Linked DNA regions of Drosophila melanogaster. The protein of the gene in region 1 interacts with the protein of each later gene in a pairwise test. Each region holds a gene or a part of one and is shown in the gene's direction. Other genes may lie near its edges.

What was found. Proteins that work in one complex are often made in the same cells at the same time.
Region 2: the proteins of Gld2 (region 1) and eIF4E5 interact in a two-hybrid assay, tested with the Drosophila melanogaster proteins (one large-scale study listed by BioGRID).

The regions. Positions count from the first base shown.
Region 1 is NT_033777.3:22,208,203-22,219,214, forward strand, and holds Gld2 (GLD2 poly(A) polymerase), read left to right. Parts: upstream 1-3,621; 5' UTR 3,622-3,819; intron 3,820-3,882; 5' UTR 3,883-4,087; coding exon 4,088-6,727; intron 6,728-6,977; coding exon 6,978-7,244; intron 7,245-7,306; coding exon 7,307-8,494; 3' UTR 8,495-9,213; downstream 9,214-11,012. UniProt on the Drosophila melanogaster protein: Cytoplasmic poly(A) RNA polymerase that adds successive AMP monomers to the 3'-end of specific RNAs, forming a poly(A) tail. In contrast to the canonical nuclear poly(A) RNA polymerase, it only adds poly(A) to selected cytoplasmic mRNAs.
Region 2 is NT_037436.4:7,891,629-7,898,051, forward strand, and holds eIF4E5 (eukaryotic translation initiation factor 4E5), read left to right. Parts: upstream 1-3,251; 5' UTR 3,252-3,410; coding exon 3,411-3,760; intron 3,761-3,817; coding exon 3,818-4,005; intron 4,006-4,058; coding exon 4,059-4,219; 3' UTR 4,220-4,381; downstream 4,382-6,423. Other genes in the region: CG32365 (uncharacterized protein), read left to right, coding at 1,607-1,944, 2,017-2,866; pbl (pebble), read right to left, coding at 5,096-5,224, 5,284-5,433, 5,494-5,604, 5,670-6,423.

The DNA.
Region 1 (11,012 bases):
TGGGCAGTAGGTGGATCAATTTGGAGGCGATTGCATTAGCCTCACGAGAAACAACAGCTGAGAAGCTAATCAGGCAAATGTGGCACAGTTTTCGGTAAGGTGAATTCATTAGTGCCTCCCATATTCGGGTACAGTTCGTTTTTGGGGGCAAGATAAATGAGTGAAGTGGTGTCGTAAGCCAGGTGTCATTGAGTAATGCCCTTTGGAGTGAGAAAAGATTCGGGAAAATTTTGATAATTTGAAAGTTAAATGAAAAAAAATGTATTGTAAGAAACAAAGCTGATATCTTTGGCCAAAATAAATCTTTTCATTAAACCCGCCTCTATTTTTCAATACTATGTGTTTTTTTTTTTTCATCCATTGCCTTAACATTGTATATTCAATTTAATCCGCTTCCTTGTTTACTGAAATCTAGCTCGCATAATTAAAAGTGAAAAACGAGGGAAAATGAAAACGCTCGCCTATTTCCTGTCGCCCAGCAATGCAATTTTCACTTTTTTCCGCCGTGTCGCTCCGTTTACTCATTTTGTCAAATAGCCTCAAGGCGGAAAAGCCAGTTGGTAGTTGGAAGTTGGCAGGAGGGCAGGGCAAACTTTCGAAATTTAACGCCGGTCACAATGGGGCAGCAACCCACCCGAAGGTATCGCCAACTGCCAGCCGCAGTGGCGGAGAACAATTACTACGGGTTTTTCGCTTTTTCGGTCTTATGCAAACAGGAAACGCATAATGAACAAAGTCCGAACGAGGAGCTCAGCTCAGGAGTCACTCACTCGCTTTCGCCCTGGAGTATCGAGAATGGAGAATGGAGCACGCGACTCCATGCCCGGACAAGCAACTCCGGCTCCTGGCCGGCATTCATTCATTCATTTTTGAGCGGTTTCGTGGTTAACAACCGCTTCCTTATCCTTATTATTTTAATGCCTGCGGCAGCATTCCATCTTACTTACATTTTTCTCCACGCCGTGTTGTGGCTTAAATATTTTAACTACTGCCAGAGCTACTAGTTGGCTGGCTGTCTGTCTGTCTGGTTGTCTGGGCCGGGTCTTGGTCTTTGTGCCCGTAATTGGGGTTAACTGCGTTCAGCAGGTGAGCCGGTGAGGAGACGCCACCATTGTGTGTTAAAGTGTGCCAAAAGGAAAAGTACAATTTTCTGCCGCACTCATAAATTGTCCGTGCTGGAGTTTAAATTTTGTTTTCCATTTCATTTTCCTTTTCTAGCTTGCGGGCGAGCAATTAACTGCAATTGAAAGTAAAATTGAATTGAAATTTGTTGTGTTCCTAAAATGTACGGTGTGTTTTTGACAGAGTGTTAGAGTTGACACGCATGTTGAGAAAATTCAATTAAAAATTTCACTGCAATCGGTAGGTCCGCTGTCTGTCTTTCGGTTTTTCGCCAACTCATCGTCGATTCAGTTGATAATTATTTTTACGCGCCGAGTTGCAGGGTAAAGTGCATTAAAAATGCAAATGGCGACACTTTGCCACTTTGATGCCAGTGTTGTCACGTTTCCCGTTTTATTAATTTATTAAATTAAAAACAACGCAAAAGGAGGCAACTGCGCACCGCCGTCTCCACTCTGGCATGTGTAATTGTAAATTTATGAGCGTGCCACAAATAAAAAGGAGGCACCAGTACTACACAGTACTACAGCGCAAAAAAAAAAGGACCAACGAGTTCAACTGGGGCGCACTGTCAATCGTGTTGCATGAATTATTAATTATTTGCTTTTCGCACACACATCCCGATAAAGGGACGGCGATTCATGCCACAGATACAAAAATATGCCGCGGCACTGTTGCAATGCGGCAATCGGCTGTCAACTCCGCCACTTTGACAAGGGAAACACTAATAAAATTATTAACCAAAATGGCAAAAACACAAAAAAAAAAAAAAACAAAAGGAATTCGTTACGTCGTCACTGATTGGCAATAAAAAAGAGAAACCGAAATTAGTTTAATCTAATTACCTGCCACGCTTTATTGTCCTTAGCGCAACGAAATGGATTTTCGAATATAAAAAGTCAATGTCTAGGATTTTTCCAGGGTCGTACAAAAAATGAAAAGTACGTATTTTGGGTGGGTAAGAAATGTGAGCATCCAACCCCGGGGACTCACAGCTCTCCACCCCTGGCCGCTGCCTTATTTATCCTGCGTTTTCCCCCGGGGACACGGGCCATGGCATTTTTCTTGGCTCTCTGTGAATTATTCAGACCTTCAATCGATGACTGGCTGCCCGAGCATCTTCATTGCATAGTACATATATACATTCATATATATATATATATATATATATACAGCACACGCCTCCCGCCCCCTTTTTTTATATCCCTCAGTGCTGCTGACAGTTTATTTGCCAAATTGCTTGCATGTAATATGAAACTTTTTTTTTGCCCATTTCTGTTTCGAGGCTAATTTTTAGTTCGGCAAAGGGATCTCAAAAAAAAAGTGTCTTTGGGTGTGTGCTAAATCGAAAATCTGTAACACGCGTCACACAGCATTAAATGAGAAGGATGTTTTATGAGGCGGAGGGGGTTAGTCCCCTAATATGGCATGACTCAACCGAATTCCACGTAGAATTTTATGACAGAGAAACGAATTTTTGTTGGTTTATCTCTTCACTTGACTATATACACTGTGAGAAAGCTTATGCTAACCTTGCTGTCCACACCTTTCCATTTATAATAGTTTTAAATATACATTTTTGACAATATGGCCAAACTTGAATCACCATGTAAACTGTTTTCTAAGTGTACCTGCCGCACCCCATTGTTCTGCCACTGACCATAATTCACTGAAAGTTTTAAATTTGAAAATCTGGCCCTGAGAAAGGGGCATAATGCAGGCACAGCACAGTTATTGTTGCGTTATAAATCTAATTAGAATATGTGAGCGTTTCGGGGCCCGTATCTGAATATGCACGTAGACTAAACCAATTCCATTCATCCTCCGTCCCCCCTCTTCAATGGGCTCATTTCATATGCTCACCGCATCTGGCCGCATCTGAAAATTGCCAATGGCGCCGTTGCGTCTGGGGTAATAAATTTGATTTGTTTCAAATTACAGAAGAACGCAATTTCTTCTCCTTCACCATCTTTCGGTTGCATTTTTTCGGCTGAGCCGGCAAATCGAATTGAATTTTTGAATCCTTGAAACTGCGGTTGCTTTTTGTGGGTAATCTTCATAATTTACATAAGCAAATCAAATTGTAAACGTAATATGAAGACAATGGAAGCGAGCGGAAAAAGGAGTCTGAGCTCAGCTTTGAATGGAACTATGTTAAGTGGATGGCGCAGATTTTCTCTTTTTATTTTCTTCTTGTTTTTAGAAATGTGTCAGCTTTTTCCGAAAGCCTTCTTTGTTTTAGTCAATGTGGCGTAGGGGAAATTTAGCTCAAGTGGTAAGTGGAGAAAGTTAAAAGGATTGCCACCCAGAAAGAAAGAGTGTGAATACTTTGAAGTGAAAGTGTCCAATAAGTGTGCCACTTGTGCATTTTTTTTTTTTTGCCCAACACTAGAAAACAATCGATTTTCAGTGTGACATTAGACGCACTTACCAATACTTTTGGCCAGATTCCTATCGAATTAGGAATGACGAGCACTTTTTTTTACTTGTACTAACCGTGAACAATCCTAGTGAAAATCGTGTTAAATTTCTGTACCAACTGTGTTTGCCATCTGAAAACGTGGATATTTTTTGTAACAACGGACCACGAAATAGGCGAATGTTATCTACTCAAAAACTAAAATTGCGGAAGCAAAACAAATTATTGTAGATCCCAGGCATTAAACATAATGAAGCCCTTAAAACCGGACCATTAAGGTATGAGGAATGCGATAGCACTTGTAATATATATTCCCTCATGTGGGTCTCTGGCTTTTCCAGAGCTCTCGTTTCCAATTGCCCATCTAAGAGCCCGAAATTTCGAGGCTCCTTGTCTGGCCTTCAGTTTGCTGTCAACTCTTTGCATACTAGGAGTGACAGATTGAGGTACCGGACACACAACATATTCTTTAGCAATCTGCGTTTGCGTACGCACATATATATAGATATATGTCGTTTGGCTCGTGATTAGGCCGTATCGGTAGCTATGTCCACTGCAATGGCAATGGCAGCAGCGGCATCGTCGAGTGCCGCGGCAGCAACAGCAACAACAACGGCCATTAGCAACTCCACAAACACTACAGCGTCACCGGCAACAACAAACACCATAAACACCACCACGAAGACCATAACGACATCAGAGGTGCCACTGGAACCAGCTTCAAATATGGCTCCCAAAGCACTCGAAATCGAAGATTCTGGAAGGAATGAGCCCGAAGATTTGGAGCATGGTGCTGCGAAACCACTCGAGCAGCGCAAAACGACAGTGGTGCACACCTGTCCCCGTCCACCGGGTGGCTACAAGTACTCTATGGAGTTTCTCTACGGGATCGGCAGTGGCATGGCCGGCATACCACTGAATATACCAACGCCCTCATCGATAACACCTCGCACCGTACGATCCACGGCCCCCTTACTAACCACCCACATGCCTTTGCTGACCAATATGGGCGTGGCACCATCACGTCCGTCAGGCATTCGCTACCCAGGATCTGCTGGAGGCTCAAACGGTACCACGGTAGCAGCATCCACGACACCATCCACTACAGTTACAACATCAAGTGGCTCTCCGGGATCGGGAGCCGAGGCAATAACAAGTTCAGTTTCATCTAGTGGCTTGCCAGCAGCGGGCTTGCAAGCTGCTCAGTTCATATGCCAGGGATATATGCCCACTGGACCGCAGCGTCGCTTGTGGCACGCAGAAAACGCAGTGTGGCAGTTTGATAGAAATTATCCTTACAATCAGGCATACTCACCGCCATATGGAATACCCATGATGCCAGTGGGCTTTGAGCATCCGTATGGGCAGAGAATAATATACCCGGGCTATTACAATCAGACTCCTCCGGGAATTAATCCTGCTGCGGTGGCGGGACTGACAAGAACTAATCGTCCGGTGACCCAACAGCCACATATACTGACTCAGCCAGCCGTGGGAACAACGGAAAGTAGCGAGGAAGCTCCAGCGACACTTGGAAACGCTCCGCAGGTGAGCAGCACGTGGCGTTACGGAAGACCAGGAACACACCGCGGACGACATGCGGTGCCCACTGCAGCAGCACCAGCTTTGTTGCACAGAGATTCTAAGAGTTTTTACAACAGCATCGGCAGTGGTATGGCTAACGGTCCTCGATTTAAAGCACCCTTTGTGGCAAATGTACGTAATTTTCAAGCAGGAGCTGTAGCAACTGTCGCAGCCGGAGGAGCCGCAACCACAGCAGTAGTGGGCACAAGTGCACCTGCAACTGGAGCAGCTAGCTCCAGCGATCAGAACGTGGCCACCAAACGCAACCATCAAGGAGCTGCGACCCAAAATAATCACAGAAATCGTCACAATGCCAAAAAAGGAGGCAAGAATTCGGTTGGAAAAGAGCTGACATCCAACTCATCAGAATCGCTTTCCAATTCATCCTCAAAGTCCCAGCTAAACAAGCGTCCCAGCTCGAGCTCCTCTATTTCACCAATCAAGCATCCACATCGCAATTATAGAAACCGGATGCGTTATACTGCAACAGAGCCAACTGAGCAAAAGGCGGCGACCACGACCGTTCCAATAAGTAACTACCAGCCACCGCAGCAATCGACATCAACAGTGCGAAGAACTTCTAAGTTCCAAGGATCAAATGCCTATCAAGCACATACTGCTGCCGGTAGGCAACAGTCTCGTTTCTACCAATCGCGACACATGGATGGCTATGTCTTTCAATCTGGACACTATATGGTATATGCAGCGGGAGCACCGCCTGTGGGGTTAAGACCAGGAAAATCACCAGTGTCAGAAGCCACCGGGGCACCTCCTGGAGCAGCAGCAGCAACAGCAGCAGCAGCAACAGCAGTAGCAGCAACAGCAGCAGCAGCAGAAGGTGGAGGAGCAGCAGAGGGTGGAGGAGCAGCAGCAGCTCCAGTCACAGCCAGCAGCGCCACTTTGGAGGGCGAGCAGCCGCTGGACTCGGACTTTGATCAGCGCCAGGAATTTGCTGACTTGGGTCTGGATCCAGCCAATGGCGGCTTCTCCTCCGACCTGGAGCCGAACGGTATCAAGCAGGACACCTCGGAGCTGGACACTCACTCGTGCCTGATATCGCATCCAAATTCCGAAGTCGATGGCGATGATAATCAATCCCTCGCCAGTTTTGCTCCTAGTGTGGAGAGCGATGATTCCGATAGTGAACTAAGCGATGCTTCCGTGGAGTCGGTGGCGCGCGATATATTGGTTAGTTGCCTAGCAGTGGCCACCGGGGCTGAGGAGCCCGATTTCAGTGGCCCCAATCTGGTGCCCTACGGTGATATGCATTATCTCAAGGAGCTGGACAAAAAGAACCCCCCAACCAATGGCTACAGATCCCACAGGCCATATCATCAGTCGCATTATGCTTACCATTCGCAAATGAGTCCAAGAGGATTGAGCTGCTGCGGCGATATGTTGAATCAACACTCTGAAGATTTGGTGTTTAAATTGGACCAAAATCAGCCGGATGGCATTGAAAGTGGGAAGAACATTTTCTTGAGGGAGATAACCGAGCAGCCTGACAACATCTCGGTGGCCTCAAATCTCTCCTGCAGTCCATCTGCCAGTTCCAGCAAGAGTGTATTGGCTCCCATGGCATCCAAGTCCAACATTACAATGGTAGGTGAACTCAAAAATGTACTTCTTAATGGGCAAATTACCAAGTTTATTTCTTCGAAAAGTTATTTTTTCCTTTCGTCTGTTTGTCTGATAGTTCACTTTATAAGATTTACAAAATAAAATCTTGCATTATTTTTTTTCAAGAAATAAATGTGGAAATGTCCCTTAATACATTTTGTTGGCAAAAAAAAAAAACTTCCGCACCTTTGGCAAATTTGTTCATTCCACACTCTTATCCTAATCCCCAAAGCCAGAAGAAAACAATGATGATGATGAACTGCCCTTAGTGGTTCACAATCGTTATTGGCGCGAATTCTTTGGTTACACGCCAGCCGATCGCTTTTTACTCCGAGCCAAGTTTGTGGAAATGAGACGTCCACCGAAAGTGATGGGCTGCAAGAACAAGTGGGACCCCTTATCCCTGTCCGTTTGGAAGAAGTTCCTCGAGTCTCAGCAGACACGTCACGTTTACAAGATCAAGATGCGACTGTGGCGTGCCATCTACACAGTGGCCATGGTGAGTTCCGTTGGGAGTATTTAGTAAAATGCAATAGTTTTCAACTAAATTACGCTTTACAGAAAAACTATCCAAGATACGGGCTTTATTTGGTGGGCTCATCCATTTCGTACTTTGGTTCGAAGTGCTCGGACATGGATATTTGCATGCTGGCCTGCACAAATCCTAACATTGATTCTCGCATGGAGGCCGTCTATCATTTGCATGTTATGAAGGAGCTGCTGGGCCGCACGAATATGTTTCAGGATTTCAATTTGATCGAAGCACGAGTGCCAATACTGCGATTCACCGACCGATGCCATAAAGTGGAGGTGGACATAAACTTTAATAACTCCGTTGGGATCAGGAATACCCATCTTCTATACTGCTATTCCCAGCTAGATTGGCGAGTTCGTCCGATGGCATTGACCGTGAAGCAGTGGGCCCAGTATCACAACATTAACAATGCCAAGAACATGACCATATCGAGCTACTCGCTCATGCTAATGGTCATTCATTTCCTGCAGGTTGGAGCAAGTCCACCTGTGCTTCCATGTCTGCACAACTTATATCCGGAGAAGTTTGGTCTCCTGCAGCCCAACGATTTCGGTTATGTGGACATGAACGAGGTGATGGCTCCGTATCAGTCGGATAACAGCCAAACTCTAGGTGATTTGCTGTTGAGCTTCCTACACTACTACAGTGTATTTGATTACGGAAAGTATGCCATCTCGATACGGGTGGGTGGTGTCCTGCCCATAGAGGTGTGCCGGGCAGCCACTGCGCCCAAAAACGATATACACCAGTGGAACGAGCTGTGCATCGAAGAGCCATTCGATCAGACGAATACAGCTCGATCGGTGTATGATACGGATACATTTGAACGCATCAAAACCATCTTTGTGGCCAGCTACAGGAGACTGGATTCGACGAGGAATCTCAGTGCCATATTCGAGGACTACGATGGACCCACAATACTGATGCAGCAGCCATCGGTGGACTCAGAGATCGAACTCTACGAGGGTCAACACCACCGTTTGCTACCGAATCGAGGCTCCTCGAGATCCAACAGCGCAATACCATCGCCGCGTCCTTCAATACTAATGGTGGACAAAGCCACTACAGCCATTTGGGATGATATCAACAACAAACCAGATCACCCAGTATTAAGCCATAGCAACAACTATGATGCGACCAATGAATGTACTGGCAACGGCAGTCTGATGGGACTCAAGGATAACTCTGTGGCCGACAAGCCACCAATTGCGTAAAAACTCTCAATTAAACCAAAAACACTCGGCACGTTCAAGACATACTGAAAAGGCAAAGAAATATTTTTACGCGCTAATGAGGATGTGCTTTTTCCATAAGTTGCCGGACGCTTTTAAAACAATTTAAATTTGACGTTGGATAATTATATAAGTATAGTAGGAAAATAGCCGATTTTCAAATCACAACGTGAAGGGACCATGTAAATATGCCAAACGCCTATCTCAACACAAAGTCGGTCGCAAAAAAAACACAAATATCTGCTAAAAAGCAACAAACTGTTTCAAATGTTTGCGTACCAAAACGGCTAAAGTTGTTTTCACAAGCTTCATAGCAAGACAATTGCAAAACAAAAAAAAAAAAAAGAAAGGAAAAAAAAAATCATAGCGTGCAAGAAAATAATAAAAATGGCAAAAAAATTACAAAATTTAAAAATCTAAAAAAAATATCAGTTTTGTACAGTGTAGGAAAGCTAACATTTTATTACTACACAATTCATAAGATTTGTACGGGAATAGGTTTTTACCAAAAACTATTAAAAAACACAGAAAACTTCACAAAAAAACACGTAAAACATGAAATATGTAACACAAAAAAAACGACAAAAATTTTGTAACTAAATAATAGAAAATGTAAAATACGCGCCAATCTTCAAAAAAGCTTACGAGTTAAACAGTTGAGTTACTAACTCAACCAAGAACATAAATATAATGATAGCGCCAAAAAAAAATTATATAAATAAAATCCTTTGCCAAAATGTCGTTCGTTACTAAAATTAGTTATTTTAAATGCTAATAATATCTTAGTTTTCCACCAAACAGCATACAGCAGTATTCTTCCTTCATACATGTGCATAAATCAACCCAATGAAATCATCCATCATCCAGCTATTAAGTCCCGAATCCGAATCCGATCCCAATCTCCATGCCTTCATTTCAACACTTGGTCTCGACTCTCTGGGGTCTCGAACTATATGCGAATGAAATTATTTAGGATGCTCAATTTGATATTCCGTTCTGATTAATTCTTAGTGGTTGCCGTCATCATCGAATATCACCCTTGGGACAGACACTCTACTCTCCTCCGGATGGCCGAAATTCTCGCACATGTTTCAGTTTGGCAATTATCTAAGGAAATCAAATCAAATCATTGATGCAGCTGTTACGCCATAGATATATATAGTAGATAGATAGATGAGCACGGTGGTAGCTGATGTACAATGAAGGAGGGGGCGTGGCAATAGTCCTGGCATTTGGCGTCCATCGACAACTCTGTTACCATCTGCATCTGTTTCGGCCTGTCGGCCCGTGCCCAGTATCGATGGCAACCAAAAATGTCAGCGCAGCAAATTATTTCATCAATTGCAATGCTCGATTTCAGGAGGTGCAGTCCCACACAATCGATGGCCGATGGCTGTGCGTTTTCGGGGTTGAATGGGTGATATGTTGGGTAATTGATATAATGCCGATGGTTCCTGTCGTCGCCCACCTAATGGCGAAAATTGTCAACGGGATTTGGTTTGGGATTTCGGATTGCAATTGGGTGGCTGGCTGGCTTGGTGACTGGGTGGTTTTCGTATTGGATTGGTTTGCCTGTAATGCAGCGATGTCAGCGTCGGCAGCTTCATAATCATCATCATCATCATCATTACCGCAGCCGAACAATTGTCACACTAATTTGTGCATATGTGCAAAAATGTTTGGCAATTAAACGGCGAAGCGCTGCCAGCAGCCAGAGTCTCCCTCGACTCAACCATTTTTCATTCAGCCAAGTAATTAATGTCTTTTGTTAATGGTAATGCATTTGCATTCGCAATTGGAATTATACCCCAATCCAATCCAAGGGCTAAGACAATTTGCACAACAAAGGGCGCGTTGGTCTGCTCGGTGGAATGCTAGAGATGAACTTCATTAAAATTTTGCACGGAACGGAAAAATTTGTGGCACGGCAAGAGGGGCGGGAAAAAATAGAGAGCAGCAGCTGGTGCATTAAAATTCCTGTCCGGGATTTGGTCTTTGGTCTTGAATAATTATTCATTGTCATTGTAATTGGCGTGCCAGGCGCTAAATGGAATCATAAGGGGGAAAAGTCGAGGAAGCTTCGGTTGACAATTTTCATTTTTCCACCATAGCCGGCAAATTGAAGTTGCTCGATTACTTGGACACTTTTCTTCGGCTTTTTTCATCTTGTTCACTTTTTGTTTTTATTTTTTTTTTGTGCCTCCCACATGAGAGGTTTTCCTTTTTGTCTCGTCGAGCGGAGAAAGAGCGATTACTCCCCATGGATCTCGGGATCGGGATTGGGATTGGGATTGGGATTGGGTTTTCGGTCTTGGCTTTTATATTGTTTGGGACACGTACGGGAGTTTTCATTCGATGTCATTTCAATTTTCCTCTGCTCCTTTTTTATGGACGCACAGAGACAAAAAGGGTTCGATTCGGTTTGGTTTGGTATGGATTGGAAAAGATGCAGCAGCCAACACACAAGGACTCGACATGGGATTGCGTTTCTATGTCTCTG
Region 2 (6,423 bases), on another chromosome or scaffold:
GGCTATTCTATGCAACGCATAATCACCCAACGGATGCCGCTGAAAGAGCGAAAATATTTACGCTTTCATTTCGATTTAATGCGCTTTTAAATGAGCCCCAATGAAGTTGACTTGGAAAGCCGGCGGTCTTCGCCTTGGAAAATTGCAAAAAAGAAAACAAAGCAGTGACCAGAAAAAAAAAACATGAAAATAATAAGAAAAGATAAATATTTTCTGTAGCTTGGTCCGTTTCTTGTTTGGCGAACGGAAAACTGGGTTAGAAGGCAGGAAAACCGCGATGGAAAAACATTTTGGCCATTATAAATGAAAAGAAAAACCATGCAGGCGTGGGTGGAACCCTGGCGAGATTGATTGATTGATTGATTGAGTAGACGATGCAGTCGATGGGAGGGAACCGCATTTAATTTATGCACCGGTAAGATCCCAGACTAAACCGACCGGTGTAGCCAGGAAATGCGTTCAATGGGAAGCTGCTGGCAGGCCAAGCGAGTCCGAATCGGAATCGGAAAAATTCGTACCCGAATCCTCTCAGCTCCAATTGCTCGACGATGGCTAAAAACACTTTGGGCATTAATGAAATTAAACAAAGCATAACAAAATCGAAATCAAATACAGCAGCAGCAGCAGCAGCAGTGCGCGCCGGCAACAATTTCCACATCATTTTCAAATAAATCTCAGACACACGAAAACAATTCGTAATTCGAATGAAAACCTCTGGCGAACACGCAGTAGGAAAACCTCCGAAAACGGAAAAACGTCCAATGAAAAATTAGCAACAATTTCCAAGCGTTGCAATAGCAATAGCAACGACTGCATCGCCAACTTACATAATCAGCCAGACACCAACTATTTTGGCATCGTGTGAAGCCTCCCCAAAAAACCAGCAGATATACACACATATATATGTACATATAAACTGCATGCCCACCCGTTTTGGCCAAATTTCAAATGGCCCGGGAGGTGGGCGTGTGCCTGCCTGCCAGGTGATGGCAATCGGCAATCTTAACGCCTTTTTGAGGTCTCTGCCAATTTGGCAAGCGCCATAGACTCGAATGGCATTTGATAATTAGACAATTTGGCCCACAGAAGTTAACCAAAAGCGACATTCCCCCCCAATCAACTTGGCCAATGATGCTGATATGGCCCAAAGACCCACAGCACAATGAAGTAGAGAAATGCGCGCAGAGTAAAGGGGCGCGATAAAAAATCAAGTGAAAGTTTTTATAGGCTGATGATGATGCTGATGCCGATGCTGCTGCTCTACAAATGTTTGCTGCCAAGCAAAATCATTTACAATTAACATAAATAATAAATTAAAGTCATCGGTTCAAATGCATTATCAATGTGTCAAAGCAATGACCTGGCACATTGGAGCAAAGCTGTAAGTTTTGGAGGGGAAATACAAGCTGAGTTAGCCGGAGAAAGGTCGATTGAATGAGATTTACATGAAGAGCTGAAAGCTCACCTAAAATATGGGCCACACGTTTCTAAAGTTACATTCCCAAAGAAAGATACAATATCTATCTAATCTATCTTCATTATGCGTAAAAACTACCACTTATCAATCCCTAAGTATTCTAAATCACTTTATAATCCTAAATTTCAGACCGAAACCAATTGCGAGATGTACCGAGCGGTGATGGAGGAGGTGGCCCGCTTCTTTGAGCGCTACCAGTTGCAGCAACAACTCCAGCAGACCCAACGCAATGGAGAGCAGATTGCCCGCTCCAAGAGTCTGCATCATGTCCACGGAGTGGGCAACACCTCCCTGCAGAGCGATGCTCGGGATGATGACGCCTCCAGCGGCGGATCAGCTTCATATCTACGCGCCCGGAGCAGCACCAATTTGATGTTGAATAAATCAATGCATGCCATGGACGAGGAGCACAATTACGAGACGATTGCACCAGCTGGAAGCTATAATGCCTTCAAGGATTTTACATGGTAAGGGGAGATCAATAGCAGTGCTAATAATTTTCAAACAATTAATAACGAAATGTCTTCTCTCTGCCAAAGGCGTCGATCCCCGAAGAAGTCTGGAGGCAGTGGCGGTTGCAAGTCACGTCTATCGGCTCCTGAGGCAGCCGAGGAAAAGCTGAATCAGGAGGCCTTTCGTTTGGCCAGAACCATAAGGAATCTTTTGCACACCTCGGAACAGCAACCAGATCTCACGCAGCCGCGCCACTCGCTCGCTTCCATTTCATCGCTGCCCTCGGGAAATCACCGCCTATGCAAGGGGAAAACCAGTTCGGTGATGACACTACTGACGCCACCATTGCACAATTCCACCAGTATCATGAGTGCCACACTGGAGACTCCATCACCGGGCGGGAAATCAAATGCGGAACTCATCTTTCTGCGGGCCAACAACATGCGCGACTCGAGGCTATCGTTGCGCAGCTCCACCGACAGTTCCGTGCATTCCACCATCTCGTCGACGGCATCCTCCTCCTCGAAAGTGGAAACGGATGAGGAGACGCAGACACAGACCACCGCCAGCAACACAGCCATCAGCAATAGCAATAACAAAACCACCAGCAATAAGCAGAGCGGTTCCAGTACCGAGGATGAGAGTGGCTTCAGTTCGATTAGCTCCTTTCACGATGTCGGCTTGCCCCTGAGTTCCACCTTGATGAATGGAAACCAGCGACGCCTGTCCATGTCCTCGGACAGCAGGAACTCCACACTAAAGTCCGGATTAAATATGGTGGGGCTGCCCATGCAAAATCAGACTCAAGTTCAAGTACAGGTTCAAGCTCAGATATCAACCGCTCCATCGCCCTCGAAAACCTATCGCAATGCGAATCGCTACCAGCGCTTCTCCACTTTGTCCAACGAGGATGCAGCCGCTGTTTTATGGGTCTAGACGGGTGGATGATTCAAAACCAGCCTTGAGATAATTTATTAACGTATTTCTAAAAGAATTGAGAATCTTTTCAAATATGGTTACGAAAACCGTGTTTTTTTTTATTTTGAACACCCCGTAGCTGTTTCGATTTGTTTTCTCTAGTGCCTCCGCTTAGTGTTTAATTGACCATTGGAATAGAGTGCATACATTTTCATTTTGTATGTTATTATTTTTTTTTTTAAGGACCAAGCGCGCATTTCTATGTTAACAATATGTAAATTGATTTGTCTTAAGTTTTGCAGTATTTATAAATGAATAAAAATAATTTATATTAAAAGAAAAAACCAGCATAGTATGCTTACACCCAGGTGTCATTGTCATTTCATTTCCTTCTTTTCGACAGGTTTCGTTTAGGTCTAGAAAAATGTGCTAAAGTATTTTTGGTTATTAGTAAGCAATTCCCACTCGAATCGCGACAAAATTCGTTGAGAACACAGCCGTCAGCAAATAAATTAAGGTTACCTGTTCGTATCGAAAAAAAAAAAACAAGTCAACCAACAACATGGCCAGTGCACAAGTGCAAAGTTTTGATATTATGAAGCAGCAGGATCAGCAACATCAGCTGAATAGTATCCATAAGCATCATCATCACCACGAAGGTGTTCCACTGGAGAGCAATAGCCCAGAACCTATCGATGAAGAGATATACCAAGTCGAGTACAAGCATCCTTTGGAGCATGTGTGGACTTTGTGGTATTTGGAAAACGATCGCACCAAGCACTGGAAGGACATGCTAAACGAGATTACCGAGATTGACAGTGTGGAGACCTTCTGGAGCTTGTACCATACCATCAAGACCCCAGCGGAGCTGAAGATTGGATGCGATTACTCCGTGTTCAAGAAGGGCATAAAGTACGAATAAATCATTGTTCATTGAGAGATGCTAACTTAAATCCTCTACTCCCAAAGACCCATGTGGGAGGATGAAGCCAACATCAAGGGTGGTCGCTGGCTGGTCACCGTGAGTAAGAGTGCCAAAGCGGAATTGGATCAAATTTGGCTGGACATTCTACTGCTGATGGTGGGCCAAAATTTTGAATACTCCGACGAGATCTGCGGAGCTGTCATCAATATACGTAACAAGAGCAACAAAATCTGTAAGTTTATCAAATGTGTTCTGCACATTGATAAAAAACTGTATCTATTACAGCGGTTTGGACTGCCAACGGGAGTAACGAAATGGCCATTCTGGAGATCGGCCAGAAGCTGAAGATACTCCTTCATTTGCAATCGCATAGTTTGCAGTATCAACTTCATTCCGATGCAATGTCCAAATTCAATTCGGGCGTCAAATCGGTTTATACACTCTGAAAGCGATTGTTTAGGTCCTCTACGTTAGTATATTTTTATTTTTGTACACCAGATTCGTAAGTGTGGAAGATATGATTGGCTTGGTGTATATGAATATTTACTTGGAATTGCCCCTACAAAATTGTTCTATAGACTAAATTAAAAACCTAATTTTCTATGCGCAACAATTGCATCTTTTCGGGTGAGATTGTGGTAACTGTCGAAGTTTGTGTAATTCGTTGCCTACTTTGCAGCTTCAAAGCTAAGAATAAAAAATGCTTTGATTTAAAAATGTTTTCCTTTAATCATTGTTCATATATTAACTTAAACATCTTCATGCTTTGAACGCCTTACGACTTAGGGTCGTAATTGCCTACTCAAGCAAAATCGTTGAGTTATAATCAATATGGTAAGATAGGGTTTTTAAAAAATTTACTCAGTAAACATTCACAGCTTGTTGCGGTGTGGCGATCATCCGACCGAAAACCATCCGAATCGATCGTTCGGTGCGTGCGTGAATTCGATCCCTAGTCACTGCAATGAGTAGTTGATTACATTTAGCGACGCGACACAATTATACGGGCACGGGAGTACACATATGGAGAACTATTTACAAGTTAATCATGATCAATCGACAGCTCGGGCAAACGCTTCAACATTTGCGAGCCTTCCTATCGACAGGTGCAACTTAACAATACATTTTACAATCTAAACAATATTGGACGCTCGATAATTTGTTTCTGGTTGTGTTGTGAGATTACGAATTCGAAGCTTGTATATGCACTCGGACATGGGCGACCAATGCTCAAGGAATAGCACTGCAAGCGAGTCTCTCCAAAAAGAGACTTCCAAAATGGAATACACAATTTGACTGTGGAGTCATCATCATCATCAGCTCTAAATGCGGCCCACAACGGCCTTGTTTTTCCGCGTGGGTTGCACCGAAAGTGGCGGTACCACTAGCATCTCGGATTGTGTTGACGGCGAACTGCTTCGCATGCTTGCACAGTCCTCATCATCAACCTCCTATAAAAATATAATTATACATCAGTTTTTGTTCACATCGATGCTGTAGTTGTACACACATTTATATTCGTGCAGCTGGCCAAACGCATCTGGGCCAATTGAGAGGCAGGTGTTAGAGAGTTGGTGCTGCCAAACGGCGAAGTCATCATCGTGGATACGGCCCGTTTCAGTTTGTTGGGCGTTTTGTTAAAGGAGAAAGCACGACCCACCTAAAAGAACGAAAATTAGTATTAGAAAAGTTTTAAGCTGAAAAAGTTTTGAGGACCCACCTTGAGTCGCGTTTTGGCCGCCAGTTTAAAGGCTTTGCTGAGCGTGCTGACATTCACATCACTTATGTCCACCTCCAGTTCCTGGGAGGTGCGACAAATCAAAAGTTTGTCCTGCAAAACAAGAATAAGAACATGAATTTCAGAACATAAAACTATCTATGTATGCTACCACTTACCGCATCAGTACGGCAGGTGTGGGCTGCAATCTGGTTGCACAATTTCTTTACGTAGACCGACTTATCTGTCTCCTCATCACTGATCGTAAACGTATAGAGCTTCTCCTTATCGCCCCGCAAGAGCAAACCAAAAGCTCTTGGACTATCCGAGATGTCAATCACTAACCGGATCGTATTCAAAGATATCAGCTTGAGATGCTTATGCGTCTTGGCCGTGCTTGGCGATTTTGCAGTGTTGAATCCTTTAGAACGCCGCTTGCATAGCTCAATGGAATCGGAGAACAGGTACAGGACCAGGCTATCACCACGACCGCTCAGCGAATCGGAGAGCTCGTTCACCTCACACTTCAAAATAAAGCTGCGGTTGGAACTCACTAAATGCGCCGGACATCCTTCGATATCGTTGAATATATCGAAGATGGCCATGCGCGATTCGGTCCGCCTTTTATCCTCGTTGATGTGCAGTGTCACCTGCTTGATGGCCTTCAGAGCCTCCTCCAAACGTCCGTGGTCCGCATTGCCACTTGTCGTATGTTTCAATATATCATTTAGCAGCAGACTGATACTGGGCAATCGCTGAACTGGACGGATCATCAGATCTTGTAGACCTTGGCGTCCGCACTCCGGTTTCGTTTGATTAATCTTCAGAAAGGCGTGGAAACGCGGATATTCCCGATCGCAGTACTGCAGTTGCTCCTTCATCTGCTCGAAGAAGTTGACGTATGGTGGATACGCCTTTATCAGCTCGTCGCGA